Linked DNA regions of Rhinolophus ferrumequinum. The protein of the gene in region 2 interacts with the protein of the main gene of each other region in a biochemical or structural test. Links are inferred from orthologs where the notes say so. Each region holds a gene or a part of one and is shown on either strand. Other genes may lie near its edges.

Evidence for each region.
Region 1: of the proteins of CASP3 (region 2) and GSN, one has a biochemical effect on the other in vitro, tested with the Homo sapiens proteins (2 studies listed by BioGRID). The link is inferred for Rhinolophus ferrumequinum from reciprocal best matches to the Homo sapiens genes CASP3 and GSN.
Region 3: of the proteins of CASP3 (region 2) and PANX1, one has a biochemical effect on the other in vitro, tested with the Homo sapiens proteins (2 studies listed by IntAct). The link is inferred for Rhinolophus ferrumequinum from reciprocal best matches to the Homo sapiens genes CASP3 and PANX1.
Region 4: of the proteins of CASP3 (region 2) and granzyme B-like, one has a biochemical effect on the other in vitro, tested with the Homo sapiens proteins (2 studies listed by BioGRID). The link is inferred for Rhinolophus ferrumequinum from reciprocal best matches to the Homo sapiens genes CASP3 and GZMB.

The regions. Positions count from the first base shown.
Region 1 is NC_046295.1:71,655,736-71,663,489, forward strand, and holds the start of GSN (gelsolin), read left to right. Parts: upstream 1-4,743; 5' UTR 4,744-4,785; coding exon 4,786-4,929; intron 4,930-4,984; exon of another isoform or gene 4,985-5,026; coding exon of another isoform or gene 5,027-5,050; intron 5,051-6,438; coding exon 6,439-6,643; intron 6,644-7,386; coding exon 7,387-7,541; intron 7,542-7,754. UniProt on the Homo sapiens protein: Calcium-regulated, actin-modulating protein that binds to the plus (or barbed) ends of actin monomers or filaments, preventing monomer exchange (end-blocking or capping).
Region 2 is NC_046287.1:77,146,360-77,153,488, forward strand, and holds the start of CASP3 (caspase-3), read left to right. Parts: upstream 1-4,117; 5' UTR 4,118-4,206; coding exon 4,207-4,218; exon of another isoform or gene 4,219-4,265; intron 4,266-4,940; exon of another isoform or gene 4,941-5,011; coding exon of another isoform or gene 5,012-5,014; intron 5,015-7,129. UniProt on the Homo sapiens protein: Thiol protease that acts as a major effector caspase involved in the execution phase of apoptosis. Following cleavage and activation by initiator caspases (CASP8, CASP9 and/or CASP10), mediates execution of apoptosis by catalyzing cleavage of many proteins.
Region 3 is NC_046294.1:65,127,658-65,135,207, forward strand, and holds the start of PANX1 (pannexin-1), read left to right. Parts: upstream 1-4,539; 5' UTR 4,540-4,566; coding exon 4,567-4,747; intron 4,748-7,550. UniProt on the Homo sapiens protein: Ion channel involved in a variety of physiological functions such as blood pressure regulation, apoptotic cell clearance and oogenesis.
Region 4 is NC_046289.1:74,677,802-74,685,609, reverse strand, and holds the start of granzyme B-like, read left to right. Parts: upstream 1-4,797; 5' UTR 4,798-4,819; coding exon 4,820-5,009; intron 5,010-5,978; coding exon 5,979-6,126; intron 6,127-6,650; coding exon 6,651-6,786; intron 6,787-6,989; coding exon 6,990-7,250; intron 7,251-7,808. UniProt on the Homo sapiens protein: Abundant protease in the cytosolic granules of cytotoxic T-cells and NK-cells which activates caspase-independent pyroptosis when delivered into the target cell through the immunological synapse. It cleaves after Asp.

The sequences.
Region 1 (7,754 bases), on a different chromosome or scaffold from region 2:
CTGAGTCACTTCAAGGAACTGAGTCTCCCAAATTCTAAAACACACATCCTTTCAGGTCCACGGGGGCTCTCCAGACCTCCCTGCAGCCCTGTCCAGTTTCACTGAGTTTTATTACTTGCTTCTTTGTTTACCATTGTCCCAATTAGCAAAATCCTGGGCCAGAGGGGCGGGTGTTCCCAGGAGGACCCAGAGAACAGCAAACAAACTCCAGGAGGCTTCCCATGAGTGGCCAGCTGCTGGGAAATAAAAAACAACTTTGTTTGAGGTGAAGAGAAAAGAACAGGGCGGCGTCTTCCAGCCCTGGCCAAGGCCTTGTGTACACTGTGGCCAGGGGCGGAGGGTGAGGCCGCCTCCTCCAGGCTCTGGTAACTGCCCTGGGACACCAGAGAGACACGGAGACTAGCCTAAGGTCACAGAGGAGGCAGGGCCGAAGCCCGCGGCCATCCTGGGTCCAACTGCAGGGGAGGATCGTGGGCTGTACGGCTTCTTCCTGTGGCAGACACTGAAAAACTGCCTACTTTGTTCATGGTACCGGGTAGGAGCCAGGAACAACCAAGACCAGGGGACCTCTGGAGTCCAGAGAAGGGCAGGGTTGAGGACATGCTCACAGAGCGAGTGGCAGCAGAGCCAGGCTGCCTCTCAACTCACAGTAACCGTGACTGGCCTGAGTGCCCATGAGTGGCCTAGGATGTAAGTGTCACAGGCCATTGTCCATTCAGTGGCCACAGCCTGAGCTTCTTCCTAAGACATGCCTTTGTCCTGGGTGCTCACACAGGTGTGTGGAGGGCAGAGGGCTTTCCCGGTCCAGCCTCCTGCCCTGGCCTGGGGGGTGTGGTGGGGACGGCTGCCCCAGAGACTGCTGGCTGCCAGGCGTGGCTTGCCTTTGGCTGATTTAGCAACTGCAACCCTTTACCTGGAAAGGACACTTGCTCCCTGTCCAGGCTGGATGGTGCCAGGAGGCCCTGCTTCATCTCCCCAGATAGACCTTAGAGACTAGAGCCAGCCACACTTGTGTCTGAATCTCAGGAATGCCTCCTTCCAGCTGAGTGGCCCTGAGCAAGTGACCGAACCTCCCTGAGTCTGTTTCCCCATCTGTAAAATGGGAATTTGAATGTCTATGTACACTGGTTGCTATGAGGAGACTCAGCCTTGGACCCCCCCTCTCCTTTCCTCCCTCTTTTCTCCCAGAGATGTCTGGGCCCAGAGGAGAGGTGGCATGGTGATGGCAATGCCTCCTTCTGCAGGACAGGTGCTGGACTGTCAGATTCAGAAGTACCTGTACAGATGACCTGGTCCAGTACCATTTTACAGATAAGAACCTTGAGGCTCAGAGACATGTAGGTTCTGGATGTGGTTGCACAGCCAGGATCTGGGAATGCTGGAGCTGGAAATAGCATAGGGACCTATCTCATCTTTTGCAATGGAGACCCCGAGGCTCAGAGAGGGGCAGTGACTTGCCCCAAATCACCCAGGAAGTCAGTGGCAGAGCCAGGCCTAGCAGTGGGGCCTCTTCCTTTCTACCTTGGGATCTTTCTCTCACACCCAAGTCCCCCACTCTCCTGAACCCATATATCCTCTTCCAGGCAGGGAGCAGCATAAGACCATGTTGCCCCCATGAAAGGCTCCACACATCTCTACCAAGTAGAGTTTCCAGGCTGTGGGCTTCCGGAGGGCAGGGCCCAGGGCCCATTCACCAGGTCTCCAATGCTGAGGGCCCAGGCTCCAGAGCTACTCAGATGTGGCAGGCAAAGCTGCAAGGCCTTTGTGACCATTAACCTGAGGGCCAGTGACCCTGGGCTGCTTGTCAGACCCCTGGGCCCAAGACCACACCCTCCGTTAATCACCCAGTGGGGAGGTCAGAGCCACAGTGCTCCAAGAAGGGACTGCTGACGTGGGCCAGCTGCCAGCTGCCAGCTCCACTTCGCTCTTGGGGGCTGGGATGACAGGACATTTCTTTTTCCTACTTGTTTGGATTTTCCAAATTCTCTAATGAGCAGGCATCACTATACATTTTGAAAAGGACTTTTTTCTAGATCAGTGTTTCATTAAAAATCATCAATTGCATTGGATACATATTTGTAAATAGTTTCAACTCCCAGAGCAAGTTTTCATTTTTTTTTTATTTTCAGCAAGAGTATTGAGGTATGATTTACATACCATAACAACTCACCCATTGTAAGCATACAGCGCTCCGATTTTTAGTAGATTTTTCAGTTGTGCAGTCATCCCCATAATCCAGGGTAGAATGTTGTCATCACCCTAAAATGTGTCCTCCTGCTGAGTGCAGTGATCGAGGGGCTCACTGCCGCCTCAGGCTATCACGACAGTATCAGAGGTGGAAATTCTCTGTTCTCATCTCTTCCAAGCAAACCACCTTGACAGTTTGGCATTTGTCCTTCTTGACTTTTGAAGGATGTATCCAAACACAGACACCCTTATAAAAAAGGAGAGGAGTCATACTGCAGTCGTACAATTTGCTTTTTTGCCCTTGGACAGCTCTCCGTGCTTGAGTGCCTACTATGTGCCAGGCACAATCACATCTAGCTCATTGTGTTTTCACAGCTGCAGAGAGGTCCATTGTATGGCATCGCCGTAATTTATTTAACCAGGACATTTGGGTCCTTTCCAGTTTTCCTCAAACAATGCTTCAGTGAACATCCTTGCACATGTATTTTTGTGTTCCTTTGTAAGTAATTCTGAAGAAAGTGGATCTGTTGTTGCCTCGTGTGTTTCGAATTTGGATAATCAAATTGCTACCCAGAGAGGTGAAGCCGGTTTATGCTTCCATCAGAGCATATGACAACTGTGGGTTTTCTTTGTTTATTTGTTTGTTTGTTTTACAACTGTGGGGTTTTTATAATCACCCAAATGCCTAAAGAGAGGGAAGAACTGTCTGAATTTAGGCCTGAACTGGCCCACTGCAGGCTCCCTGGGCCAGGGCCTAGACAGGCAGCCCTGAGAACTTGGCATCTCTCTGTGGCTCCCCACAGACACCCAGATATAAAGTTCAGATTCTTCAGTGTAACGCTCGAGCCCTGTGACTCCTGCCGCCCTCTCCCCGCCTCGGCTCCTCTTTTTCCCTGTGTTTCAGACTGGACCCCTCCTTATCCACTGCTTGCGTTCCTTTGCTTGCCCTTTGTCCCTGCTGTTCCTGCCCTGAAAACGCCTTTTCTTCTTAGTCTCCCTCCTCCTTCTCCTTCAACGCCGTGGTCACAAGTTCCTTTCTCTATGAAGTCTTCTTACTCTCCTTCCGATCTGAATCCTCTGTGTGTGTGTGTTCCCTTACCCCTTTATCTGTCCCACAGACCCACTTCGGTAGAAAGAAGTTGTGGAGGGCCGAGGTCCAATTGCCACTGATTAGATAGAAGCTGGGGCTCCAGGAGGGGCTGGGACAGGGGACCATAGCTGTGGGGAAGGGGACGGGAACTCCCGTTTACCTGGTTGCAGGCCAGGCCATTTTCACACATACACAGAGATTGATTTAGTCCTCAGCAGCTACTGTACCCATTTAGTAGATGAGGAGACAGTCATAGAAAAGGAAAGTAACTTACACACAGTGGTGGGAGTCAGAGCTAGGTCTCCAACTCCCCATTTCTCTTTCCTGACGTCCCTCCAGGCTTTTGGGAGACGGGGAGATCTGGGATGCAAAGAGAACTTGGACATAGATGAGCAGTGTGATGGGAGGGAGGAGAGAGGGATTGGCAGGATTAAGAGAGTCTGAAGAGTCCTTCTCCTAATGCAGTGACTCTGCCTCACGAGTGGGAGGGTGGAGGAACGGGAAGGGAGCCTGTGAGTGGGGACAAGGCTTAAAACCTTGTCTTCCCAGGGGGAGCCAATAGATAGGACCTAGAACTGGAAAAACAAAACAAAACACAAAAACCAAAACAAAAACAACTACAAGATGCAACAGGTTTTGTTATTTAAGACATGAAGGTAAACACTGAAATCATCAGCTAAAGGGGGTAGATAGAAGTGGTTGCCCCTGGGGAGAAGTAACTCTGTACAAATATGTGACTTTAATCTTTGATAAAAAATAAGTTTTAAAAAATGAAAACTGTTGAAAAATAAAAAAGAAAGGCAGTCTTGAATGCTGTAGAAGAACCTGCAACTGCAGGAGTGGAGAGGTCTGCCGGACACCCCCTCCCGCCACACCCCCCCCCCCCCCCCCCCCCCCCCCGCTAAGTTCTGTTTACTCCCGGTCCAGTCTGCCCCTAGCTCCTGGGAGTTGGGCCACCCAGACTGATTGGGTTCAAATCTTGGCTGCACCATGTCCCGGTGTGCAGGTGGCCGGGCTATTCGCGGCAGTTTCCCCCCTCTGTAAAATGGGCCTGCCGATATACCCACTCTGTAAAGGATGTCATGTGTCAACCCTCGTATGAGGCGTGGTGAACCTACAATAAGTCCTGGAGACGTTAGGTGCAGATTGGGTTGGGGTCTTGCGTGGGTCTCACAGGACGCTGAGCTGGGCTCCCTGCCGTTCGTGAATTCTCCCATTTAGCATCCATAGACTTAGCGCCTGCTGTATGCCAGCCCCTGTGCTTGGGCTCTGCCCTGGAGCTGGGGTGAAGGGGCGGCCACGCCCAGTGGGTTTGGTCCGATGGGAACCCCGATGTCTCCAAAATCCAGGCCAGATCCCCGCCCCTCCCGGCCCCGCTGGGGCCCAACCCTGCCCCGCGCCCTCCCTGCAGGGCGTTCCCGGCTTGGATGCGATGGGCGGGTGGCTACTTAAAGTGAGCGACCCGAAGGCGGTGGCTGCTGACTGGGTCTTCTGCTGCCATCGCCGCCATGGCTCCGCACCGCTCTGCGCCCGCCCTGCTTGGCGCGCTGGTCTTGGCGCTGTGCGTGCTGTCGCCGCCGGCCCGTGCGGCCACCGCGTCGCGGGGGGCGGCCCAGACACCCGCATCCCAGGGCCGGGCGTCCGAGGCGCGGGTGAGTGTCCAGGGGGACCGGGGGTTCCCAGAGTAACTCTCTATTGTAAGTTCTTGCAGATACAGCGCTAGGAAAAGGGGAGTAATTCAGGTCTAGAATGGATAAACTGTTTTGTTGCTTTGTAAGTATCTCTTGCTGCTTCCCGGGCTCCCGTTGATGGGGGTGGGAGCCTCGGGGACCTGGCTGTTAACCTCCCTAGAGGCTAACCTCACCTTGGCCGGATTTCTTTTCCCTTGCCGCCTTCTGATGTCTTATCCATCCCTGCTGCCTGATTTCTCCTTTTCCTCATCTGGTTTTTCCTTCCCTCTGCCTGATTTCTCTTCTTCCCTCTTCTTATTGCTTCCATTTCAGATTCCTCTTTCTCATCTGATATTTCCCTCCCTCTCCAATATTTTCTCCCTTTGTTTTGTATGATGTCACCTCTGTGTGCTTATTGTTGTTACTCTTATTTATTCTCCCCTCTCTGATCTCTCCTCTGCCCTGTCTGGTTTTTCCTCTTCTCTCCTGTTTCCTTTTTGCGTTTCTTCACCCCTCTGCCTGAGTTCTCCTTGTCCGGTTTCTCTGACTTCTCCCATCAGGTCTGTCCTCCGGCCAGGTGACCTGTGCCTGCTGATTTCTGCCCTTTGGCCTCAGGCTAACCGTCTCACTCTGCTCCATCTCTAGCCCCGTGCATGTCTGATGGCCTTTCCCCCATTCCTGACCTCCTTATCTCCAACAGGCTCCTGCAGACCCCAGCTGCATCCTCTCTGCCTTTTCTAAGAAATGGGACTTGGGGATGGGGTATTGGGGGGCAGAAGGGAGGAGGCAGACAGCGCAGGAGGCCACTTGGGCTAAGTCATTTAGGCCCTTCTTGGGGATGTGATGGGGACATGGACAGGGCATGGGATATCTTCCCATTTCCAAAGAGCAAAAACAAACAGGCTGTGTGACCGTGGGCCAGTCCCCTCCCCACTTTGGGCCTCAGTTTCCCCATCTGCAGAATGGGGTTGGATGAGGAGCTCTCTGAAGACCCTTCTAGTTCTAAGAGTCACTGAGGATACTGGAAGGGAACAATGCTGAGCTCCTGGGGACCCCCAGCTTTACCACTGCCATCCGAGGGGCTCTTTTCATGGTCCCAGAGCTCGTGCTCTTGGAGCTTGGGGCAATCCCTGCCATGCCATTTTCTGGCTGGGGGTCCTTGGCAGAGTCACTTCACCTCTCTGTGCCTCAGCTGTCCCATCCAATTGGCACTAAGAAGGGAAGGAGAAGGGAGCTGGAGCCCTTTGTCTCCCCATGATTGGAGAACTGATTACTCTCTGGCCAAGGGCAGGGTTTGGAGCCTAAACTCTTCCCTGTTTGCTCACCCCTTGAGACAGGGGTTGTAGAAGGGGTTAGACTTGCCTCGGGGGTGGGGAGAGTCAGAGGCTCAAGTGGGATGCTCTTGGTGCTGGAAACCACCCTCCCTCATGCCCGGGGTCTCTCCCCGCCAGGGCCCCCACCCCTGCTCAGGCTCCGCCCTGTCTCTTCCAGCCCGGCAGCATGGTGGTGGAACACCCCGAGTTCCTCAAGGCCGGAAAGGTGCCTGGTCTGCAGATCTGGCGTGTGGAGAAGTTCGACCTGGTACCTGTACCCCCCAACCTTTACGGAAACTTCTACACAGGCGATGCCTATGTCATCCTGAAGACAGTGCAGCTGCGGAATGGGAACCTGCAGTACGACCTGCACTACTGGCTGGGTGAGGCCCGCCCCCACCCCAGGCCCCACTCCCATAAAGCACAGACCTTTGAGGCATGGTCCCCAGGGGGACGCCCATGGGAGCTAAGTGACTACTGAGCATCAAGTAGGTCCCAGGCCCTTGGCTGGTGATTATGTGTCCCCAAACTCTAGCGCCAGCCTGCCCGAGTTCAGAGCCCAGCCCTGCCCTTTGGAAAGGCACTCAGTCCCTCTGGAAAGGGGACATGATGGTGGCAGTGCCACACTACCTCGAAGGGGTGTTGGGAGGGGTAAACGAGTTAGTGTAGCACTCAGAATTGGGGGTGACTTGGGGACCCTGGACCTGCTCCACAGCTTCCCTGGCCCGTCTCCAGCCATGCCTCAGTTTACCCTTCAGAGTTGGGAGCCTGGAGTCCCTGCCACAGCTCTGTAGTGTGACTGTAAGTCCTGCGCCTGCTGAGCGTCCGTTTCCTAATGTGTGAATTGAGCCCACGCTCCCAGGCCTGACATCACGCTCAGGAGGGCTGAGAGGGAGTGCAGGGCAATGAGGGAGAGAGGTGAGCGGAGGGGAACGTGTTAGAGCTGAGAGGACTCAGAGACCATGGAGTCCGGCCCCCGCCTCCCCCATTATGTAGATGGATTAACTGAGGGGCTTGCCCAGTTTGTACAGCCAGGCCTGCTCCGTGCTGGGGGCTCCAGAGTCCTCCACAGGAGGCTGGGACTACTCTCCGGAAGCCAGGCTTACGCTGCTCGAATGTCGCCTAGGCAATGAGTGTACCCAGGATGAGAGTGGAGCAGCTGCCATCTTCACCGTGCAGCTGGACGACTACCTGAACGGTCGGGCCGTGCAACACCGCGAGGTCCAGGGCTTCGAGTCGGCCACGTTCCTCGGCTACTTCAAGTCTGGCCTCAAATACCAGGTGGGTCCTGGGCGGCAGGGACAAATGCACCAATGGCAGGATACATTCAGGTCCACCCATCTTTCAGTCCTGTGGGGAGATGTCAGAAGACAGGTCAGAGCTCAGCCTTTGGCATTGGCCAGCCCTGGGTTTGAATCCTGGACCCTTCCTAGCTGTGTGACCTTGGACAAATCACAATTCCTCTGTGAGCCTCTGGTTCCTTATCTTAAAATG
Region 2 (7,129 bases):
TGGCAATGTCTTTCCAGTACTTGCACTTATCAAGTTGATAAATATTCTCTAGAATTTTAGCAGAAAACTCTGTGACAACACAAACCCACTGGCAAATGATATATACTCCCTGAATGGAAAAATATCCCTAAAAGATTGAGAGGATAGGAATGTCATGACATGGCTAGAAATAAAGGCATATTATCCATAGATTTCAACTATAACAGACTTAAGATTCTTCTCTGTGACACCTAATCCACATGAAAATTATAAATTACAAACCAAGAAACAAATATAATTCTAAGGGTGTCAACATAAATTTCCTAACAGATACACTTACGAAAGGAATGTAATTTCATTCAACTGAAGAGATGGGGCAACTTTTAATACAACTGCTTTAATTTTTCAATACAAAATGATACAGCCCTTTATTGCTAGATTCTGAGTATTCAGTTCACTTTAATCTGCTTCACATAAAGATAAAAATTCCCTACATTTAGATAATCTAATTGGGAGAAACTGACGTTTTTCCTATGAAATTTATTAACTTTTAATAAAGCCCACTGATTAGTTAATGAAGAAAATAAACACAGAATGCAATCAGATGTGAATTTTAGCTCCAGTACCTAATAACTGACTAGGACTAACCATGTGGATCTTCACACTTAATGACGATGACATCAGGAAATTTTTTTTAGATTTTGTAAAAATATTGTTATGACCATGGGAGTGAGTAACTGAGAAAACCATGAATGTCAAGAGAGAGAAAAAGTTCAGTATCTATTATGCTCTCCTGGTCTTTACACAGTTTGAAATTTTTAACAGCTGGATTGAGGGTTAGAGGACAACTGGGGCTTGGAGTGTTCCAGCGGGAGGGCTGAATGACAAAAGCAAAGGAAATGAAGAACAGGAATTCATCTGTATTTCTCAGCCCTTATCCTCCAGAAATGCTTTCAATTCCTGGTGGGGAAAGAGTTCTTTCTTCTCTATAACCATACATCAAAAAACCCTTTCCACATAGGGTCCATAACTACCGATTTTTGGTAACAGTTTCCAAGTTCCAAAGAAAAATATGTATTGTATTTTAAAATAGTAAGCCTATTGTTTATTTCTAAACATTGCGCCAGAATTTTTATTTAACCATGTTTGAAACTGATTTTACAAGTAAAAGGGGTCAGGCTAGAAAAAAGGCTGGCTTTAGTCCTTTCAGAGAGGGGGAGGTGGGGATGGACGTGGAGAGATGACTCAGAAAGCCAACCTAAGTAGCTCTGGTTTCCCTAGGTTTATGCCTAGACTTGCCCAGCTATGACACTTGATAGCCTGACTCCCAGGAGCAGCTGGACTAGGGGGCACATGCTTCGTGATTACTGGCTTCTAGGGAGATCTGAAACCTGCCTTGCCATAGCTCTCTCTAGCCCAGTTCTCTTGGTTTCTTTCTTGTTTTTGTCTAATCACAAGTCAATTCTTATTCCCCAACTCCAGCTTCTCCCTCTGCCCTCTGAATGGATTCATCAGTATTTTGTGTTTTCTTGCATACGTGTTCTAGTTCTAGTATTTAGTAAGGTTCTGTTATTTGGCAAGGTTTTCTTAATCCCTTTTATGGCCTCTTGGAATACAGTTATACTATTTCTCCCACTGCTAAAGTATTCATAATAAAGTATGTGATTAAAATTCATTTACAGTAATATTATTATATAAATGTACATTCCAGATGAATGACACCTTAAAGAATTAAATAAAACGAATTAACTGAATTTTCTTTTTTTCCCCACTTCAGTTCACTTTGCCTCTCTATGCTTGAACAGAAGTAACTCATATTTAAATTTTCCAAAAATCTCCTGTAAGGATAAGACATACTGTTCTTTTCCGGTTGCCCCTTTCTACTATCCCCACAGGATGTCCTATGCAAAAAGCCTAACTCTGCCAGACCAATCACCCCTAAGTCCATTTGCATAACTTTTCCAGGGGCACTCGTGAATGATTCAGAGCGTCACTCAATCCACACTACAGTTTACCTCAGGAAATCCAAACTCTCTCCAGAATCTAGCCCTAAACCACTTGTGCAGTTTATGTCTTACTGTTCAGCCCTCTCACCAAATGAATGATAATGACCAGTCCCCGCACCTGGCCACTCCAAGTGCCCCTCTTTCCTGTTTCTCTCACCTGTAATACCCCACTTCCCTTTCCCAATTTCTTCCCCTTCAAGGGCAAGATCAAGTTCTGACCCCTAAGACCCTTTGTAAAAAGAAATTACTAGGTTAAGAAGACAACTGTTTGTGTCTCCAGCCAACTGTTTGATATAATCAAAGTCTCTCTAGACTAAGTAAATTCGTGTAATTTACACAGAAAAAGAAAACTGCTGCTGTTGCTTTAACTGAAGCATCATTTTGGTAAGACAGTTTAGCACAGGAAGGGGTTTGGGTATCACAGTGGGGTAACAGGACTTGTTCAACTACACCAGCGCCTTCCTTATGAATAACCGCACGTTGAACCACTGTTTGGGTTTGGGAGTAAGTCCCATTCTTCAGTTTTACTGCAGCAAAAAAAAAGGGACTGCCAAACATCCGTCCTCTCTCAACTTGGGAGGGATTAAGAAAGGCCTAAATTTTATTCCTGGGGTCCAAGTTTAACTCCTGTAACTTTTTTTTAATTTTTTTATTGGGAAATATTAGGGGACAGTGTGCCTTTCCAGGGCCCATCAGCTCCAAGTCATTGTCCCTCAATCTAGTTGTGGAGGGCACAGCCCAACCCCCAAGTCCAGTCGCCGGTTTCAATCCTAGTTGCTGCCCATGCGGGAATTGAACCGGCAACTCTGCAGTTGAGAGCTCGGCTATAACCACCCCTGTAACTCTCCTTTTAACAAAAGCAAACGACTTAACCTTTTTAAGCTCGGGTGGGGATTGGAATTCCCACCTCCAGGGGTTGTTGGAAGAATAAAATAAGAAAACGTAGTGTGAAAATGTAAGAGCACAAAATAAACACTCAACAAATGGTAGCCATATACAGAGGGTGCCAAAAAAAAATGTATACACATTCTAAGAAAGGGAAAAAAACTGTATTAAAATTATACTACTATATACTGATAACAAAAGATGAACACAAGTCATGTGTATACATTTTTTGGCACTCCTGGTATATAGCGAGGTATATTTGTGTATAAATTATAGCCCCTGATTTATGCCCCAGTAGGCAAAAGTGTTGGGGGCAGTCTTGTTCTTATCATGGGGTCCCTGACTTGTCAGAATGTTACGAACCTCTTGAAATTTGACGCAGAACTTCGTTGTCAATAGCGTTGGTATATTCAGCGAAAACAATTCTTAGGTCTCATCAGGGTCTGAAAAGAGTTCGTGACCCAAAATAGGCAGGAACGAGTGGGGCAGTTAAGGTTTTTGATTTAGGGACGGGGAACTGGGGGTGACCTAAGGAAAGGCCTCGGGGCGCCCGAGGGGAAGCAGATTTCCAGTGCGGATCGCGGCCCGCTTCCCTTCATCCCCGAGGTCACACTGGGCATCAGGCCCGACCTTGGCTCCCTCTGCTCCGCCCCCCGGGCCCGGGGCGGCCTTCAGGTCCCCGTCCGTTTACCTCCAGAAACCCGCGCAGTAGGCGGAAACCCCTCGGCCTTCAGCAGCTGGCGGAACCCATGACGTGCCCATCGAGACCGGAATCCAGTCTTCAAATTGCGCGCGGGGGCGGGGCGTCCGGGGGCGGGAGGGCGGGGAGCACGCGCGCCTAAGAGAAAGCGGCTGGGGCGACGATCCCGGGCGCGCAGGGAGGGGTGGGAAGGCGGGGAGCCCGGGAGACAGCAGCGGGTCGTTGTCCTGAAGGGGCGGGGGCGGGGCGCACCGGGGCAGCGGGGACGTGTCTGCGGGGAGCGCAGCGCCCGGGACCGAGGGGGCGGGGTCGGCGGGGGCGTGGCCAGGGGGCGGGGCGCCCGGGGCCGCGGGGACGTGTCTGCGGAGAGTGCAGCGCCCAGGACCGAGGGGGCGGGGCCGGGGCGGGGCTAGTGGGGGCGGGGCCTGCTCCCGAGCCCAGCGCTACCCTCGGCGGGCGGCGGAAACCAAGCTTCGCAGAGAGGGGAGAGCTGTTGGCTGTTGTGTGGGGGCTGCTCGGTGAGTGCTGCCCTCGTCCCTTCTCGCCGCGGGGCCGTTAGCTCTGGGCCAGCTCCCTCCATCCTTCCAAGCACAGCACCCTTCCCAGAGACCTGTCCAGACCTGCAGCTGCTCGGGGATGACGGAGGAGGTGGGCACGGTCCGGGCGGAGGATCCTTTGTTCTGCCACGACGACGGGTGCGAGCACGAGCACTGAAGCCAGCGAGCTGGAGACCCGGTCGGGGGTAGTGGGCGGTCGGGCGGGGGGTGTGGAGGCCCGACAGCGGCCGGCGGGGGAGCGGAGACCCTGCTGGAGCTGCGGAGCTCGGAGGACGGGAGGCGGGTCCAAGACCGAGAGGCCAAGCCGGGAGCGTCGAGGCGGCAGGCGGGCGACTGAGCTGGGGATGTGGCGGCCGAGAAGTGGAGACCTGGCTGGAGAGCCAAGCCTGGGGGACAGGAGGCCGAGGCCGGGTAGCAGGAGGCTGGACCCGGGTCGCGGAGCCTGGTGGGGAGGGGCGCGGGCGCTGGGCCCGAGTGTCGAGGCCGGGTAGTAAGAGGTCCGACCCGGGAGCAGGAGGCCACGGATGCTTGGAAAGGGAGGGCGGGCTGAGGTTTGAATCGGGAAGGGAGGAGCTGAGGATCGGCGACGAGAAACGCTGTCTCCAGGGCAGGAGGCGAGTTTGGTGCTTACCGGCAGGCGGTTTCTCGGGGCTGATCCTCCCACTCTTGGGCAAGGGTTTGGTCTCTGCTGCCTTGCCTGTCTCGAGCTTGGATTTTCTCGGGTTGACTGTGTGACTTAGTTTTCTAGAGAGGTAATTTTCAGCATTAAACTCCAATTCCTTTTCAGACCTGAAGCCCTCGGTGAATCCTTCCAGCTCCTTCCTCCCTGTGACTATATATCCAAGGCCAGTCACCTGGGAGCTGCTTTGAAATCCCCCCAGGCCATGGTGAATAAGAGTGCCTTTCTCACTCTTGTTTTCAGTGTGTCGGCCCTCAAGGCAGCTGCCTCTTTCCTTGTTCTCAATAAATGGCACCAAACCAAGAAACCGGAAACGAACCTTCTCACCTACCTCTCCCAGCTCCTTCCTTGGTTAGCCACCAAGCCTCCTTGACCTCCTAAATGTCCACTGCATCTGTTCACTTCTCTCCATAACCGATTTAAATCACCCTAGGCGCTCACCTGGCTGCACCAGCCTCCTCATTGGTCTCCATACTTCCAGACCCTCTGCCCCTCTTCAATCCATTCTTTATAGCACAGGCTTTGCAAAATAAAAATCTGGAAAACTGTTCCTTTGCCCGTATGATAAACCCAGACCCTTAACATGGTTAACAAAGCCAAACACAGATTGGCTCCTTGGTTCCCTCCCCTGCCTTATCTTTTATGATAGCACCCTTTCACTTTCTGCATGGCCATGCTGATCTTAATACCTGGTCTCTGCCTGAAACACTCTTACATTCCCTCTTTCCCCCATCACATCACATTTGCTTGAGGAACGTCTCCTTATGTTTCTGTTGTCATTAAACACTTCAAGGTTAAGTTTTCCTATTATGTTCCTTTTCCATCTGTCATTTCCTAAGAAGGGAAAGTCATACCCTTTGCAGTTGCTTGTTTACTATCTTCCCCACTTGCTTCCCTAAGCAAATTCCATGAGGGACTCTGTTTATCTTGTTCCTTATTGTCTTTCCCCATACCCAGAGCCTGGCACAAGTGAATGCCCACACTACACAATTATCTTTTAATTATTCCCTATCCAGAAAAAATAAACCTGTTTTGGGATTACTTAGCAAATTATAATTAAAAGATGTGGCTTAGAAAGGAACGGTAGAGGTGAATTATGGAATTGCTGAAAAATGTGGATGTGCAGGATAGTAATAGGAGGGGCTTAGCAAGACGGTTAGACCAGACTGTATCAAAATGTGCTCTGCCGGTTTGAATATGTTATAGGCACATAACCTCTAAGAACCAAATGGAAAGCTTAAGTCATTCCTATTATAGCCTGATGATTGAGCTTCGGTATTGGTTTACTCTTGCAAAAAAAGATTTTTCAAATTTATGATTTGTTTTAATGAATGAATGAACAACTTACTGGAGTTTGGCAATAAGACCTGTTCACAGTAAAAAAGACATGAAACATTGTATCTAATTAAATCAGATTTGCTTTTGCTATCCTGAAAAATGGTCTTGCCTCCTGCCCTTTTTTAAAAAAAGACTAACATCTTATCTGATATAAGCATTTACAATGTTTCTTTGCTGTTTTGCTTTCAAACCTAATTTAACACAATCTTCTGCTTCATCCTCCTTCTAGTGCTAGAAAGCAGTCTTTATTTTCATGGATGTCATTAAATCTATTCTGGTGCCTCGTATTAGGTAGTTCTTTAAGCTCTGCCTCAAAGAAGGGAAGCACTGGTGTTTGGTTCTAGAAAAAGAGGTGGGAATTCTTAGACTGTTAGTTATTTTGTTCACATTTAACAAATACAAATGTAATGGAGGGAAATAGGTCCTCTGTAGGCAGACAACCTGAGGCCAAGTCCCAAGGGCTGTCTATACTAACTAGCTCATCCATAAATTAGGCGTAAGTAATTTACATATCTGTTGGGCTTGTGAGTATAAAACGACATAATGTCCGTTACAATGCTTTGTAAATCTCTATGTAATGTTCTTCTCTGCCTATTTTGTTACTGCCTTCAAATTGCTACTAGAGCTTCTGAGTTAGGGTAGAGTAAGATACTTATCTGATACAAATGTAACCCTGTCCAGCCTCTGCCTTAGTTGAGCCACTTTTGAATACCAGTGAGCCTTGGTGAAAGTTCCACATAGGGAAAGTGTCTTTGTCTCTTCCCTTACTTGATGGGCTCAGGATGTACTACCGTACTCTGCGCACAGTTGGTGTTCAGTAAATGACTGGCGCAAATAACAAATAAACTTCTCAGTTTCAAACCTCTGGCAAGCAGGATTTCTTTAATGGGTGGTTGTAAACCTGAATCTGCCTCTACAAAGGAGTGGTTCTTAGTGGGAGGAAAGAGGTCTTGTAGGTTATCGGTAATTTTTATAAAAGGTATCC
Region 3 (7,550 bases), on a different chromosome or scaffold from region 2:
GTAAAACTTAAGGAAATTGGAATACAGTAGCCTTCAATTAATATTAATGTATCGATATTGGTTCATTAATTGTAACAAAGATACCATACCATTGTAAGATGTTAATACGGGAAACTGGGTGCAGGAGTGGGACCACACGGGAACGCTCTACACCATCTGCTCAATTTTTCTGTAAATCTAAAACTGTTCTAAAAATTAAAGTCTATTAAAAAAACAAAAAAGCAATGTTACATACACTCTTGTGTGACACCTTAAACTCCTGAGGTTGGTAATGACAGCTATCAAGTGCTAAGCGCTCATGATGTGGCAGGCACTGTTACATGTATTATCACATATAATTCTCAGAATAACCCGAGGTAGGCAACATCATCCCTATTTGGCAAATGAGGAAATTGAGGCTTAGGTATTTCCAGTGACACATCCTTGGCCACAGAGCAAGTAAGTGACAAATCCAGGAGTTGGACCTGCTTTCTCTTTTCCTCCCAAAGGACCTTGGCACATGTCAGATTGTTTGAGCTGATTTTTTGCAGTAGGAAAAATGGCTTCCTTAACTATCACTCTCTTCTGTGCCATTCATCTCGGTCCTCAAAGACAGGGCACCAGTTTGGACTCTCATTACTTCTCACGTGCAAAATTTCAACAGCCTCTTACCTGGCCTCTCTACCTCCAGTCTGCGTTCCAATCCATGCTACATGTGACTGGCAGATTAAGTTTTTTAAAGCACGACCCTATTTATATTGCTCCCCTCCAAACACTCCCTAAGGCTTGCTGAAAAAAGGTCCAGACTACCTTCTCTGGCCCCACCCTTTTCATCTTTGACACCCTCACCTTCATCTTCCCTTTTTCAGTGTCTCTACTTCCCATTCCCTGACATGTTCTCTTTCTTGCCTCTACTGCAAATTCAACAAATGTGGATTGACTTCCTGCTACATGTAAAACCCTCTGCCAGGGCTGAGGGCAATTTACACAACTTTAGATTCTGTCCAGCTCTTCAGAGGAATTTGATATGTAATGAGAAAGCAGAGATGCAATCGACCATCACCCAAGGCAAAAGGAGCTAAATGCTAGACCAGAAGACAAAAGTGCTAGGGAGGCAGTGATTCGTCACAACTGAGGGTCCTGGAAAGCTTCTAGAGGAGACATTTGAGCCTGTTGGATGTGTAGCTTTTGACAAGGAGAGAAAGAGTATGGTATCCATGCTTTCACTCACTTCTAGAAAGCTCCTGTCCCAGTTCTGCCTGCCACAAACAGACTGATGCTTCTAGGCCCCACTCTTTGATACACTACCCCACCTAGGCACACCTCACCTTCTACAAAATCACTCACCCTTTCCAACCAGTATTATAGTTAACTGTGTACATGCCTTGTTTCTCTTACCAAGCCCTGAGGTCTTTGAGGAAATGGAATGTGTCCACTTCGTTGTTGCTTCCCACCCATCAAGCCCAGAATAGCCCATCGCTGGCCTCTAATATTTACCTTGAGTGTACAGATAGCGAGTGTAAGTTAGTCTACTTGTTTTTAAACAATTTTCAAGGTGAAACATTTTCAGGTTCCTTCAGACACTTAATAAATATTTATTAAAAGACTACTATGTGCCAGGCATTTGTGCTAAGTGTTAGAGACAAGAGTGGTATACGTGGGCATGGACCTGCCCCCATGAAGCTTACCACATAAAGGGGGTGAAAAACATTAAATAAAACAACAGTTAAACAAACACATGTTGAATTATAGTTGTGATTATCATTAAGAAGGAAAAATAGTGGCCCGGAGGTAGGGAAAGGCGAGGGCTCCCCTCAGGCGGCTCTGTCTTTGACCTGGGGGGTGGGAGCCCTGAGGCCAGGAGGGAAGACACTGACTCCCAAGCACTGTCATTTTGCATCCGAAGAGAGTAGCGGTCAGAACTAAGTATTCAGAAGCCAAGTCATGGATCCACCTGCACTGTAAAGAAAAACCCAAAGTTAAAGAACCAGTCAGGAGAGTTGAGAAGGCCAACCAATCAGCCCAGCAGGAGCTAAAGCAAAGACAAAGAGCACAGATCTATGCCCTCAACAGAGTCCTGACTAAACTGGAGCAGCAGCAGTTTGATGAGTTCTGTACACAAATGCAGCCGCCTGATGAGTGAGCCGCCTAGTGTGCAAAAGAGCTGGGACCCTGGAGTCTGTGAGCTACCAGTTTTAAACTGAGATGGCCCATTTGGAGCCTTACAGAACTAGACAAGACATTTGTGTTATTTCTAAAACTGGATCAATCTGAATTTCCTATATGTAACTTCTGCTTCACTCGTTCCTCCAATCTGCACAGGTTCAATGCCTGCTGAAGAGACTTGTTTTATTCTTTTAAGACAATGGGTTTTTGGGTTTTTTTTTTTTACCTTTTTTTATTATTTAAGAAAAATCAGTGTTTCTTGTGAAACCGCAACTCTTCTCCAAAAACACAAATAAAATACTAATAAAATGTGAAAAAAAGAAGAAACATAGAGGGCAACAATAACAGATAAAAGTTATATTCGTAACACAGTGACCTCATCTAATTTAGTGTACTCAAAGAAGACTTTACTGGGGAAATGACATCCATATGGGTCAGGAAGTTCAATAAGAGTTGGCCAGGCAAAGAGGCTACTGCGGGAGTGTTTTGGGCAGAGGAAGCCCTAGAGGAGGCAAGGAGCCTGACAAACATGAAGAACTGGATGGGAAGTAGTGAAATTAGTGAGGCAGGCAGTGGCCATGCTAAGAAATATGGATTTTATCCTAAATGCAATGTATACTTTAAGAAAGGGAGATGACATGATCAGATTGGAGATTTTATTTTTTTATTAGTTTCACGTGCACAAAACAATGTAACAGTTAATTTTTATTTTATTTTATTTTTTTAGATTGGAGCTTTTAAAAAGTGTGGGAGAGACTGGCTTGCATGCCGAGGGAATACATTCCTGTATGTGGTTAGGAGAGAGGCTGGTGGCCTGAATTGGGGTGTTGGATGTGCAGGTATAGAAAAACTCTCAGATTTTCTATATTTAGGAGAGAGAAGCAAGAGAATTTGGAAGTTGGTTGTGGCAGCTGGCAGACATGGAAGTGTTATAGACGGTGCCCCAGGTTTCGGGCTTGAGATCGGGGGATGGTAATGCATTTAGCAAGATACAGAGGGCAGGAGTTCAGAGTTAGAGGAAGATGAGGATTACAGTTCGGGCCATTATGAGTTTGAAGTCCTGTGAGCCATCCAAGTGGAGAGTTGTGTAGGCGGTGGGATGAGTGCTCAGAGGACAGGCCAGGGTGGAGATGTATTAGGTTGGTGTAAAAGTAATTGTGGTGTTTGCAATTATTTTTAACCCTTTAAACCGCAATTACTTTTGCATCAACTTAATACATGTGAGAGTAGAGGGCATATAGAAGAGGCTCGTGTGCATGGACCTGCCCATGTACAAAGAGCAGAGAATACAGCCATACTGGCCCCAAGGAGTTCTCACGTTTGAAGGTCCTGTCTGCTCCAAATGTTGCTGATTAGAGCATCTCCTGCTTATTTTCTCAGCACCCACTCCCTGTAAATAGTTCAGAGGCAGCTCTTCCCCAGGGGCACCCCTCTATTGGCTCCTAGACCAAGGCTCCCACTGGGAAAGCAGAAGAAAAGCAGACGGAGCAGGGGTGATTGAGGCCTGAGACCTGGTCATTCTAAGGGCTCACCACTGCTGACCCCGCCGCTCCTCGTCTTGAAGAGCTCCTGGAAGGGCTCTTCCACACAAGCTCGGTCCACACCGCTCGATTGGCTTTTATGGCACCCGTCGCTGTTCGAAGCGTTCGAAGCTCCTTTTAACCTGACTATACCATGTAGAAATGTTGGGGATGGGGCATAAAAGGGGGCCATCCTGTTCACTGGGTAAGGGGGTCGCGATCAGAAATGATTTCAAAATCCCGGGTGCCAGGAAGTGGGAGAATGAGGATGGGAGAAAAGCGCGAGCATTTTCAGGGGTACGTCTCTTTGGGATGATCCCTTTGCTGAGGTCGATGCCAGGGTCGCGGGATGCTGCCGCGCCATCCCGGCCCGCGTCACCGCAGTTGCCGGAAACTCCACGCCCCTCGGTCCCCGGTGTCCCTCGTGGTTCCGGAAGAGCGCGGCGGGGCGAGCTAACAGCGCGCGCGCTGGCCGGGAGGCAGCTTCAGCCACCGCGGCGCACTGCAGGGGCCAGGCGGGAAGGAAGCACTTTGTTCCCTCGGTGGTTCTTGCACCTCGGGAGCGCCAGCGCGGCGCGGAGTCCCGGTGGCGCGCGCAGCCGGAGGGACCTGCGTTGGCGGAGCGCGCGGGGGCGGGTCTGCGACAGGCCAGGGGCATAAATAAGAGCGAGCGCGAGAGCTCGTGCGCCCATTTGAGGCAGCTGCGGCATCGCTGGCCGCCGGGCGCGCGAGACACAAAGGCTGCTTGGATGTGGCTGCAACTGGGCAGCCGGCAAAGGGAAAGCGAAAGACACGGGCCCGGCGGGTAAGCGGGTGGCGGCGCCGCGCAGCCCTCCAGACTCGGGCGGTACCCCGGCCTCTCCTCCGGGGCTATCCAGGCCGAGCCCGGCGCGCCGCAGCCATGGCCATCGCACACCTGGCCACCGAGTACGTGTTCTCGGACTACTTGCTGAAGGAGCCCTCGGAGCCCAAGTTCAAGGGGCTGCGACTGGAGCTGGCCTTAGACAAGATGGTCACTTGCATCGCCGTGGGGCTTCCCATGCTGCTTATCTCGCTGGCCTTCGCGCAGGAAATCTCGATCGGTAAGGCCCGGGCCCGGAAGGGCGGGGTGGCCTGAACCCGCGTTATCAGTGGTGCCCGGGTCTGATGAGATGTGATTTTACTTTGGGCCCCTGGCAGTGCTCATTGCTGCGATGGGCATAAACTTTGGGAAGGAAGGTAGCCCCAGTTTTATGACCTGAAGCAGCATCCTTTGTCTGTGTGCTTCATTTGTATCCCGGTGGACTCTGCTCACATCTCTATTCTTCAGTTCTGTTCCCGACACCCCACTGATTGCACTGTGGCTTAGTGTTAATGTTCCACTGTGTATCTGTCACCCTTGCCACCAGATTTGCCCGGAACAATTGTCTCGCCTAATTTCTCCTATACACATGTGTGTGGTCACCTACAATTGTGTACCAGGGAAGATCCTGAATGGCTAAATGGAGGATGTGAAGACAAGTGCTCCGTGACAAGTGTGTTCCTCTTCAGCTGTTCTGACTTTCAGTACAGGAGAGAGTGTTTGTGAGTCAACAGGAAGGAAGTATATGACAGCTCGAGTCAGTTCTGTGGGGGCAAAGAGGGCCAGGCTGGTGGGGCTGGACCTTGGGGAAATCTTATGTGAGAGATTGGGGTGGCCCCAGGCTTTGGAACTTGGGTGGGGTTGGATAAGCAGAGGTGAGACCTTTGCCAAGATTTTGAGATGGCAGAAAATGTTACATATACCTGGAAGGGGAGAGGCAGTGACTGTCCTAGCTGAGACAGGAGGATTACAGGGTTCCAGGAACGTGTTAGTCACTTGGGTCACGTAGAACAGAAGAACACAGACTTAATGGCTTAAAGTGTGAAGTTCTTATGTGAGCAAAGGATGGACCAGTTGAAAACAGCACTTAATAAATAGCCTGATGGTAGCCTGTGGGGTCTGTAAAGGAGAGTGGAGTCAGGGAAGCTGGATATTATAAGATAGGGCATCAGTTGTGGTCTTTGTGTATGGATGGGGGCCAAGAGTGGGAGGGAAAGGATTGAAAGGGGTGATTCTGAGTGATCAAGGAGCAGCAAGCAGCACTTGGGTACCTCATTTTAATAGGCCATGAAGGGCACAGACTGGTCCGAGTTTCAGGAAGGCTGCAGGCCTGCGCGAGTGGAGAATGGTAGTGTTGATGGAAATAGGAAAGTTGAAGGAAGGGTTGCTTAGAAAAGCGTTACAATGAGTTTGATTTTTTTTTTTTTTTGGTTAATCTATGTCACAAAGTTGTTCAACCTGGCAGGAGGTTGCCAACTTACTTGTGGAAAAATGTGTTCAGTTTTCCTTGTCTCTGGGCTGGCATAGCCATGGGGTTCCCATCTGCCTTCCAGATGGCCGAGTGTTAAGGTTTCCGGTAGAAAGGAAAACCACCAAGCAGTGTGGGTCCTGGAGATAATCTCTCCCTTCAGCAAATGTTCCTTGAGTACCAGCTGTGGGCTGGACCCAGTGCTAGGCGCTGAGGACCCAGGTGTAAATGAGGCACGGTCCCTGTCGTGGAGGAGCAACAGTCTTGGGCACCTGATGCCACAAGGGAAGAGTTGGTTACCCTCCATGGTCAAACTTCACTCCTTGCCCACATATTAGAGGGACTCCCGAAGCACCTACATCAGTAATGCTCTAGATAACACCCAAATGGATGGGTTGTTTGAGAGGCATTTGGTTGGTGTTGGGAGTGGATTAACGCAGCAAAGGTCTGACTTGACGCTGTGTGCACAGTACCGCTATGCGTTGAGTGGACATGAAAGGAGTTGGAGGCATGGTCCTCTCCCCACGCTACGGGAGCTACAACAGACATGCTGAGAGGTAATATCATTCAGTTGTGTGTGATTCAGTGGTAAGATGGTGCAGAGCTCTGAGCACCTAGCAGGTGAAGGTTGGCCAGCACTTGGCTGAAGCACTGTTGAGCAGAGTCCAAGGGGAGGACAGATGTGTGGGATGAAGGCAGCAGGACCAGGGGAGACCTAACAGGTTGAATGCACGTTAGATAAAAGCAATGAAAGGGTCTAGAGAGGGGAGGACAGGTATATAAATTAACACCTGGAGTAGGACAGGGGGGTCAAGTCACGCAGCATTTAATTTTGTACAAATTTAATTTTTGTGCAAATGTGCAAACACAAAAACAAGCAAAGCAACAAAAAAGAACAGCAACAACAAAGAGAGAGAGGAGTAATATACGTGGAGCAGGCACTTTTGCCCACCACTTTGGTGAATGAGCACTAGCCCCAAAAGCAGTGTGAGATGGGCCTGCAAACTTCAAACATGGCTCCATCCTCCCTTTCATAAAAAGTGCTTCCTGCCTCTCTGGTACCTGGGATCGTTCTTCATTGTCATATTTGCACATTGCATTATAACCTGTCTGTGTGGCTGCCTCATCTACAAGATGCTTCATCTTCTATTGGTCCCTAGAAGCTGGCCAGTGGGGGAGTGTTGAAGGTTAGGGAGAGAGAATATCCTCATATGGTAAAACATTGGATGTTGTATTAAAGGCTTCTCCTTAGTCTTGGGCCCATTTTCTCACTAGTTTGGCTCACTGGGCTCCTCTCAGAAAAGAGGGACAGAACCTGCCCAGGCCATAGAGACCTATGGGCAGGGCAACAAACTTGACCTTTATTTAAGCTCTGCTGGGTACCAGCATGGTGGCTACAGGTGGAGTCCACTCCATGGAGTTTCTGGCCCCTTCGCCTCCCACAACAGTTTGTATAGGCTCAGTGTGGGAACTGCAGGGAGACAGAGTTCTGTGCCACAGAAAGACGCTCATTTGTCCCCAGATGCCTCGAGGTGGAGCACATTTCACCCTGGGAGGAAGAGAGAGAGAGATTTAG
Region 4 (7,808 bases), on a different chromosome or scaffold from region 2:
GGGGATGTGACACAAAAATTCTTAGGTGTGAATTAGATTTCCAGACGTAACACGTTGTTACATCTGACCCGAGCTGTGAAATACAAAGACCCACCTGTTCTACAATCATCTACTAGAGGTTCTGGTAAATGATTCAGCAGCATTCCTCTTACCTACCCCAAACAAAACCAATTGCCACATCCCGTACACACATGGTGAGAAAGTGCACACCACTAGCCCCTGAGCAAGATGGGAATAGAAAGAACCATTTGCTGCAGAAGGGTAAGGTATGAGCTTTAGGTCTTGTGGAAACAAAATGCTTTGAGGAAAAGAAATGGCCTTGGTGGGCAGAGTTCCTGGGGAGATAAAGATCCTTAGGTGAGGGAGTTGGGGAGGCGGTTCTTGAGTGTGATCTAAGGTCACATCAAATGCAACATCACAACCCAGAACATCACTCCCTTCCAATTCTCTCCCCCACCCAGAAGATCAGTCAACACCAACTGACTTTTCTGGGCCTGCATTGTTCCACTTCTCCCAGTTCAGTGGGGATGGGTGCACTGTCCTCACCCAAGCCCTCCTCTCTTCCCATTCCTCTGCAGTCATCTTTGCACTCATCACCCCAGACATTTACTCACTCCAGAGCTTTTCTGAGTTACCCCCAATCCAACATCCAGACCTTGTTTTTTGTTGGTGGCTGGGCAACGATTGCTGTAGGCAACAGGGAGAAATCAAGGGGTGTTCTAGCTGATGCCAAAACTGCAAATCTCACAGATGTGCATCTGTCCTATAGACATTTTGTCTCCCCATCCCTGCCCTCTCTCCCCCATCCTTCTACTACAGAGGCCAGGTGGAAGTACGACCCTCACCACTTCTACACGTATCCAGGTTCTCCTTCACTGACAGGTCTCTCTGTCAAAACTGGTTTTGATGTCATGTAAGCACGCCAGAAATTTGACTATCATCCCAGCCTCCTAATAAGAATGCAGAGATAACCCCTAACTGAAGCAGGAATATCTTCTCAACAGCACGACTGAGTCTCATGGTCAAATGAAATGAGCTAGAGCCAAGTTTTGGCCCCTTGTGCTATAGGTTCTGATTTTAGGTATAAATTAAAGAGAATGATCAGGCTCAGAGAATTTGGCTTATAGCGGCAGCCTCAAATGCCATGTATGAGTGCGGCAATGTCATGTGATTGTGCCATTGTCATTGCCTACAAGGAATGGTCCTGCCCACTTCCAATAAGTACTAGATGTGATTCAATGAGAGGCCAAGGCCCAAGGGTATTGTCCCTCATGGGCCGGGCATGACATTCTCCTGCTCTTTGAGGAAGAACAGCAGGGGAATAAAGGATAAGAGCAAAGGGAATGTGATCCAAAGACCTTTTCTATCACAATGTTGTAGCCACTGAGGTACCTTTCTCTTCTAAGAGAACCAGAGTCCCACATTAGAGATATAGACAGAAACTTTTATTCTTCAATACCCACTTAATTTTTCCCCAGATTCCTTGAACAATATAAGAAATGATGGTGTTTATAAATCGGTGGATAAGATCACAGACTATGAAATCACATCTCTGCATTCTAATCTCCATTCTGATGAGCTGAATTATATAGAACAAGGCCCTTTCCTTCTCAGTGTCTTGGCTTTCTCATTTATGAATTGGAAGAAAATCAGTAGCAAGCTTGGAGGGTGGACTGAGGCTCTACGGTCAGTGATCAATACAGAGCCAGCATTGAGATGTTAGATGTTATTTTCTCATTTGTTCAACAAACTAATCATATCTTCTTTTCCAATGTTTATTATTATTAATACACATGTTTATTAATAATGTTTATTATTAATTTTTACTTAGACACAGATTCTTAAATTTATAAGTCTCAAATGGATTTCACCATCTTTTAGTCTGACTGTTTAGTCACATCTAGGAAGAAATGTATTCTCCCCAGTGATGCTTTCTCCAGATTTTTTCTTGGGAAGTTACCTGTTTCACATTCTTTTCCACATGTCTGCACCTCAGTAAACTTTCTTCTACCTTAAATTGGTATTTCTACATCTGGATATGGGAGAACTTTCCTACACAGCTTTGGCCATTTGACTAGCCATTACAGTTTAAAGAAAAATTTCCCTGAACTCCCCCACCCTCTCCATTTTCAGCCTAATCAGCATAGCATATCAAGGTGGCTGTGTTGAGGGCCCCAGCCCAACTCTCAAAGAACCAATCCAAACCGTGAGGGGGGATAGGAATGAGGATTGTGAGAAAGGCCAACATGTCTCCAAAGAAGATATACAAATGAGCAGCAAACACAGAAAAATGTGCTAAATCTCAGGAGTCATTAAGAAAATGTAAATCAAAATCACAATGAGATACCACTTCATACCTACTAGAATGGCTATAATCAAAACATGACAAATAACAAGTGTTGACAAGGATGTGGAGAAATAGAAACACTTGTACATTCCTGGTGGGAATATAAAGTAGTGCAACCACTGCAATAAACAGTTTAGTGATTCCTCAAAAACTTAAACAGAGGATTACCACACGACCCAGCAGGTCCCCCCTAGGTATAATCCCCCCTAGGTATACACGTATATCCAAGGGAAATGAAAACATATCATCCACACAGAAGTCTGTTCACAAATATTTATAGCAGCATTAGTCTCAATAGCCAAAAGGTGCAAACAACCTAAGTGTTTATTAACGGTTAATGGAGAAATTGTGCCATACACATACAATGGAATACAATTTGGCCATAAAAAAAGAAAAAAATACTGATACATGCTACAACTTGGATGAACCTCAAAATCATTATGCTAAGTGAAAGAAGCCAGACACAACAGGTCACATATTGTATGATTCATTTTATATGAACTATCCAGAATATGCAAATCCATAGAGACAGAAAGAAAAATAGTGGTTGCCAGGGGTCAGGGAGGGGGAGGGTGGGAGAGGAGAACGGGAATCGATTCAGTGCCCAAGTTAACCCACAACTTAATGGGTCCACAGCTTAATGGGTATGGACAAAATGTTTTCATGGACTCATGGAAAAGTTTTGAAACTAAAGAGAGGTGGTTGTCGCATGCACTAAATGCCACTTAATTGTACACTTTCAAATAGCTAATTTTATGTTATGTGAATTTCACCTCAATTTTTAATAAAGGTCATAACATAATCTTCCGTTTAGCATAATCCCTTTTTAATTTTAAAAATAAAGATATACATGAGGGTAAAATATATTAGATCATGATATTAAAGATGATTATCAATGAATAATCAGAAATCAGATCATTTTCATTGTTTTCTCTTGATTGAATTATTTTTTTAATTTTCCAATAATTCTAGAAATTAATTCCATGTTCAATTTTTTTAATAACTAGTAAAGAGAGACTGTAGTGGTATTGAATAATAGATTTTTAAGAGCATGGGGGAAATGCTTACATCATAGGGTTAAGTGAGGATGAAAGAAAATTGCACTGTGTACATAAGATGATCCCATGTATTTAAAATGCACTTCCTATGGTAACAGTCTATGTGTGGGAGATAGGCAAATGAGTGATACTTTTCCTTTCTACTCTCCAAATTTTCTTAATGAACATATATTAACACTATAATCAGAGAAGTATTTTTATTTTTAAAATGTCTACTAGGCAAGCTAAGTTCAAAAAAGTAGAGTATGATAAGAACATTTACACTGAAATTATGCATTTTGATACATATTATTCCTCATGGAAAAATTGTAAAGCACAGAAAATGCAAAGATGGAAATTTAAATTACCAGAATCTAACCACTCAGAGATACTTAGTTGTTTTTTGAAGAGAATTGGGCTTGGGCTGTTTAGAAACAAAGGTCCATTACAGTATAGTGAGGTCATCAGCATAATTTGTTTATCAAGTGTGAACCTATTATGTGCCAAGCCTGCTATTTCAGAAGTGTGGCTCTCTGGACAGAGGACAGAGAATACTAACAGGACAATTACTGGCCTTTGGTTGCCCAGCATGCTTTCCCACTTCACGCAGTATTGGCAGTTTAGCAATCTGAACTTCCCATGGGAAACCAGCCCTTTCTGAGTCCTAATTCGAGTGGCTTGAGTGAGACCAACCCCAGCGTGCCCAAAATAGGAATGACGTCGGCTTACGTCAATCAGTGGATTCAATTTGTAGGGCCACAGTGATTCATTACTTTAGGCCAATACACATCAAGTGCAGGACTTTTGTTAAAAATATTGACAGGAGAGATGGACGGTATCGCTCTGAGCTTTTGCAAATTAACAGGAGATTAATTCCTAAATTAACAGAAGAAAACCTGAGATTAACAGATTAACAGGACAAAAATCCCTAGGAAGGAAGCTGTGATGATGAATGAGTTGCTCTATCGGTTTAGTAGACGATGTCCATGCTCTCTTACTGTCGTGGGCATTCCTCAACCATGGCCCTTCCCATTCAGTACTCTGGTCACTGATGTTTCTGTCTCCTCCACCAGCTCTGTAAGGGAAGGAGACACAGCTCCAATACGTTTCATCATAGCACAGAGAAGGGCCTAAGCACACATCTGCAAAAGAAATTATCTTGATGGACTTGGTAGCATGGAAATAAGGCATTCGTGGTTCTATCACTGGGGACTCAGGTTTCAGGGTTCTAGCACGTCTACTGGTCAGTACCACATCCTACAGTCCCCACCTCAGACCCTTGGGTTCCTGCTCTGGGCTGGAACAATTTGTCGGCTCTGAGTCATCAGCTGTGGCTACTGATGTGATCTATGCCTAATTCTCACACAACCACCCAGAAAACGTCATCAGGCAGGAGGTGTGAGGGCGGGGAAGCTTTCATAGAAACCCTTCTAAAATGAAGCACTACAAAACCAGAGAGGAACTTGAGGTCCCTGAGCCCACCTGCACCTCCTTCCTCTCCCGGGGGCTAAAAGACAGCGCGGAGGAACACCAGCGATCCAATCTGGGCAGCTTTCCTGGGAAGATGTGGCCATTCCTGCTCCTGCTTCTGCTGGCCTTTCTACTGCCCCCCAGGGCAGAGGCAGGTGAGTGACAATCTCCACTCTCATTCCCACAGAGGGCGCACAACTTTTGCCCCTTCTGCACATCCCTGACCCATCTATCCACCAGGAATGTGCTGAACCCAAGCTCCTGTCAAATTTCGGACTCCCAAGCATGATGCTGGATAAGCTACCAGCATAAAAGGCAGGGCATAAGGCTGTTCTCAAGAAAATCCAGTGGGTTCTATTTCCTCCCCAGGCCCTACCTTCGCCATCTGGAAAGGGGAACTTTCCTAGAAGTGCATGGCTGAGGATGGAAAACTGGAGAGCAGTACCAGCTTCCATGTCTGGGATGAGACAAGTGCTCTCCTCAGTGTCTGCTTAGGAAGGAAGCCCAGAGCTCAGCACACCCCAAAGTTGCTGGGGTCACTGTCCCCAGAAGACTCCTATTGCCTTAGCTCAGTCCCAAGGTGCCTCATTCCCTTTCTCCAATTCTGCTTTTCTTCCCAGGCCACTAGTGGCTCCCCTCTTTCAAGGATGGGCCACTGAGTTTGGCAACCCCAAACTTCTCTGCTTTCCAGCATCCCACAGCACTACCCCTACCAAACCTCCTCAAGAGGTCCATTGATGGCTTCACGCAGCCAATAAACACTTATTGGGCATAAAACCAGATCCCTAAACTTAAGTCTGGCCACTAGATAGCAGCATAGTCCTGGACTGCACGGGACCACAGAACATCAGAAACTCAATTGAAACCAAGCAATGTCCAGAAATGAATTTTCAGGAGTCTCTAGGACTTTGCTGTCCCAAAGATAGTTATGCTCACCTCCAACTAAGTGTGGAGAAAAACTCATAGACAAAGCCCGCTGCTCTTCCCTTTTGAGAGGAGAAACTTGAGACCCTCCAAGCTCGAGGCCAGCCCAGGCTCCCAAGTCCCCAGCAGTTTAGAGTTAAGTCAATGTCTTCATGGTGGACTCAGTGAGTGCATAGAAGCACAACAAACTTTTCCTTCAGAGGAGATCATCGGAGGACATGAGGCCAAGCCCCACTCTCGCCCCTACATGGCCTACATTCAGTTTGTAGATAAGGGGGAGAAGAAAATATGCGGAGGTGTCCTTGTGCGAGAGAACTTTGTTCTGACGGCAGCTCACTGCAGCGGAAGGTAAGTGGCAGCAGCTAGCCTACCCCCTCCCAGACCCCTAAAGGGTCCCATGTCCTTCCCCGGGGGTTGTAGCCCAGGTGAGCTCCCTGAACTCCTGCTAACTCAAGCCCACAAGAGCTCTTCACAGGAGCCATCTGAGAGCATGACTGGGTGATGAAAAACTGAGAAATAGGACAGGCAAGCTGGCCTCAGAGGGTCAGAGGTGAGACATTGGCACAGTTGAGAAGAGAGGGACCACACTGGCCAAATCCAGCAATGGTGGAAGACGAAAGTCTGCATTAGGGTAAACATGAAACTCAGGCATTGTCATGATACTGCCTGAGGCCAAGAGACAGCTCCCAGAAGCCCTATCCTCAGTGTCCTTGAGAAGCAGAGAGGACACTCAGCTCCTGGCCCTCCTGTTGCCTCAATTTCCCCTAACTGCAGCCCTGTCCCACCTCAGCTGTCACCTACCCTTCGCGGCTCATGGGCGGTATGTCCTGAGACTCCACGCCCCCCACACTCCCACTCTGCTCTCTGTGCAGCTCAATCATTGTCACACTGGGGGCCCACAACATCAAGCAACAGGAGAAGACCCAGCAGGTCTTCCAGGTGACAAAAGCCATCCCCCACCCAGACTATAATCCCAAGAACATCTCCAATGACATCATGTTACTGCAGGTAAGGAAACCTCCTCCTGCGATGGTTCTCCTGGGTCCAGATTGTTTCTCCTCTCACTGTGACCTCTTCCTTCCTTCTTGCCCATCCTGGCCACCTGACCAGTCCCCGCGCCTCAGGGGGGAAGGAAGACAGTGCAGACCCATCGCATGTCCAGGCCCTGGGGTCGCTGGCTGACCTGGGCTGTCTTGCCTCTGCCCCATCAGCTGGAGAGAAATATCAAGCTGACTAAAGCTGTGAAGCCCCTCCGCCTACCCAGGGGCAAGGACTCGGTGAGGCCAGGACAGAAGTGCAGTGTGGCCGGCTGGGGACAGGTCACCCTGATGGGCACTTTAGCAAACACTCTACAGGAAGTGGAGCTGACTGTGCAAGAGGATTGGGAGTGTAAAAGCTACTTACGAAATTATTATGACCCTGCCATTCAAATCTGCGCGGGGAACCCGACAGAAAAGAAGGCTTCCTTTCAGGTGAGATTGAGCTTGGCTAGCTTGGATCTGGGGAGAGGGGTGCTTGGGGAAGGATGGGGACGTGGAGACCCAAGCAGTGGGGAACCCCTCCACCCTCCAGCCTGTGATCCATCTCCCCAGAAAGGCCATGGAGAACAGCCAAGCTGGGGAGAAATAGGGCCTCTGAGCACCAACCAAGGGCTCATGGTCAATCTATACAAGGTCCTCCTGCAGAAGGATGATTCTGCAATACTCTGGCGCACACTGAGGCACAGCGCTTACATAGCTGTGCTCCTGCGGGAGCAGTAGTTGGCACGCACCCTGGATAACGGGCTCGTCCTCCATGCTAGGTGTCACCCAGCCGCCTGCTTTCATGTCCTTACACAGTAGACGAGCCACAGTCCCACAGCACCTGTAAAGGAAGAGCATCCGGGACCTGGGAGAGGAGAGGGAGCTGACACCTGGGGTGAAGTGAAGCTGTGACAATGTCCAAGCTGAGGGTCCCTCAGCAGCCTGCTGCCCTCTGATCTCCCACATGGCAGCCACGCAAGGTGGCCTTCTCTGAGAGGGGCTTGTGAT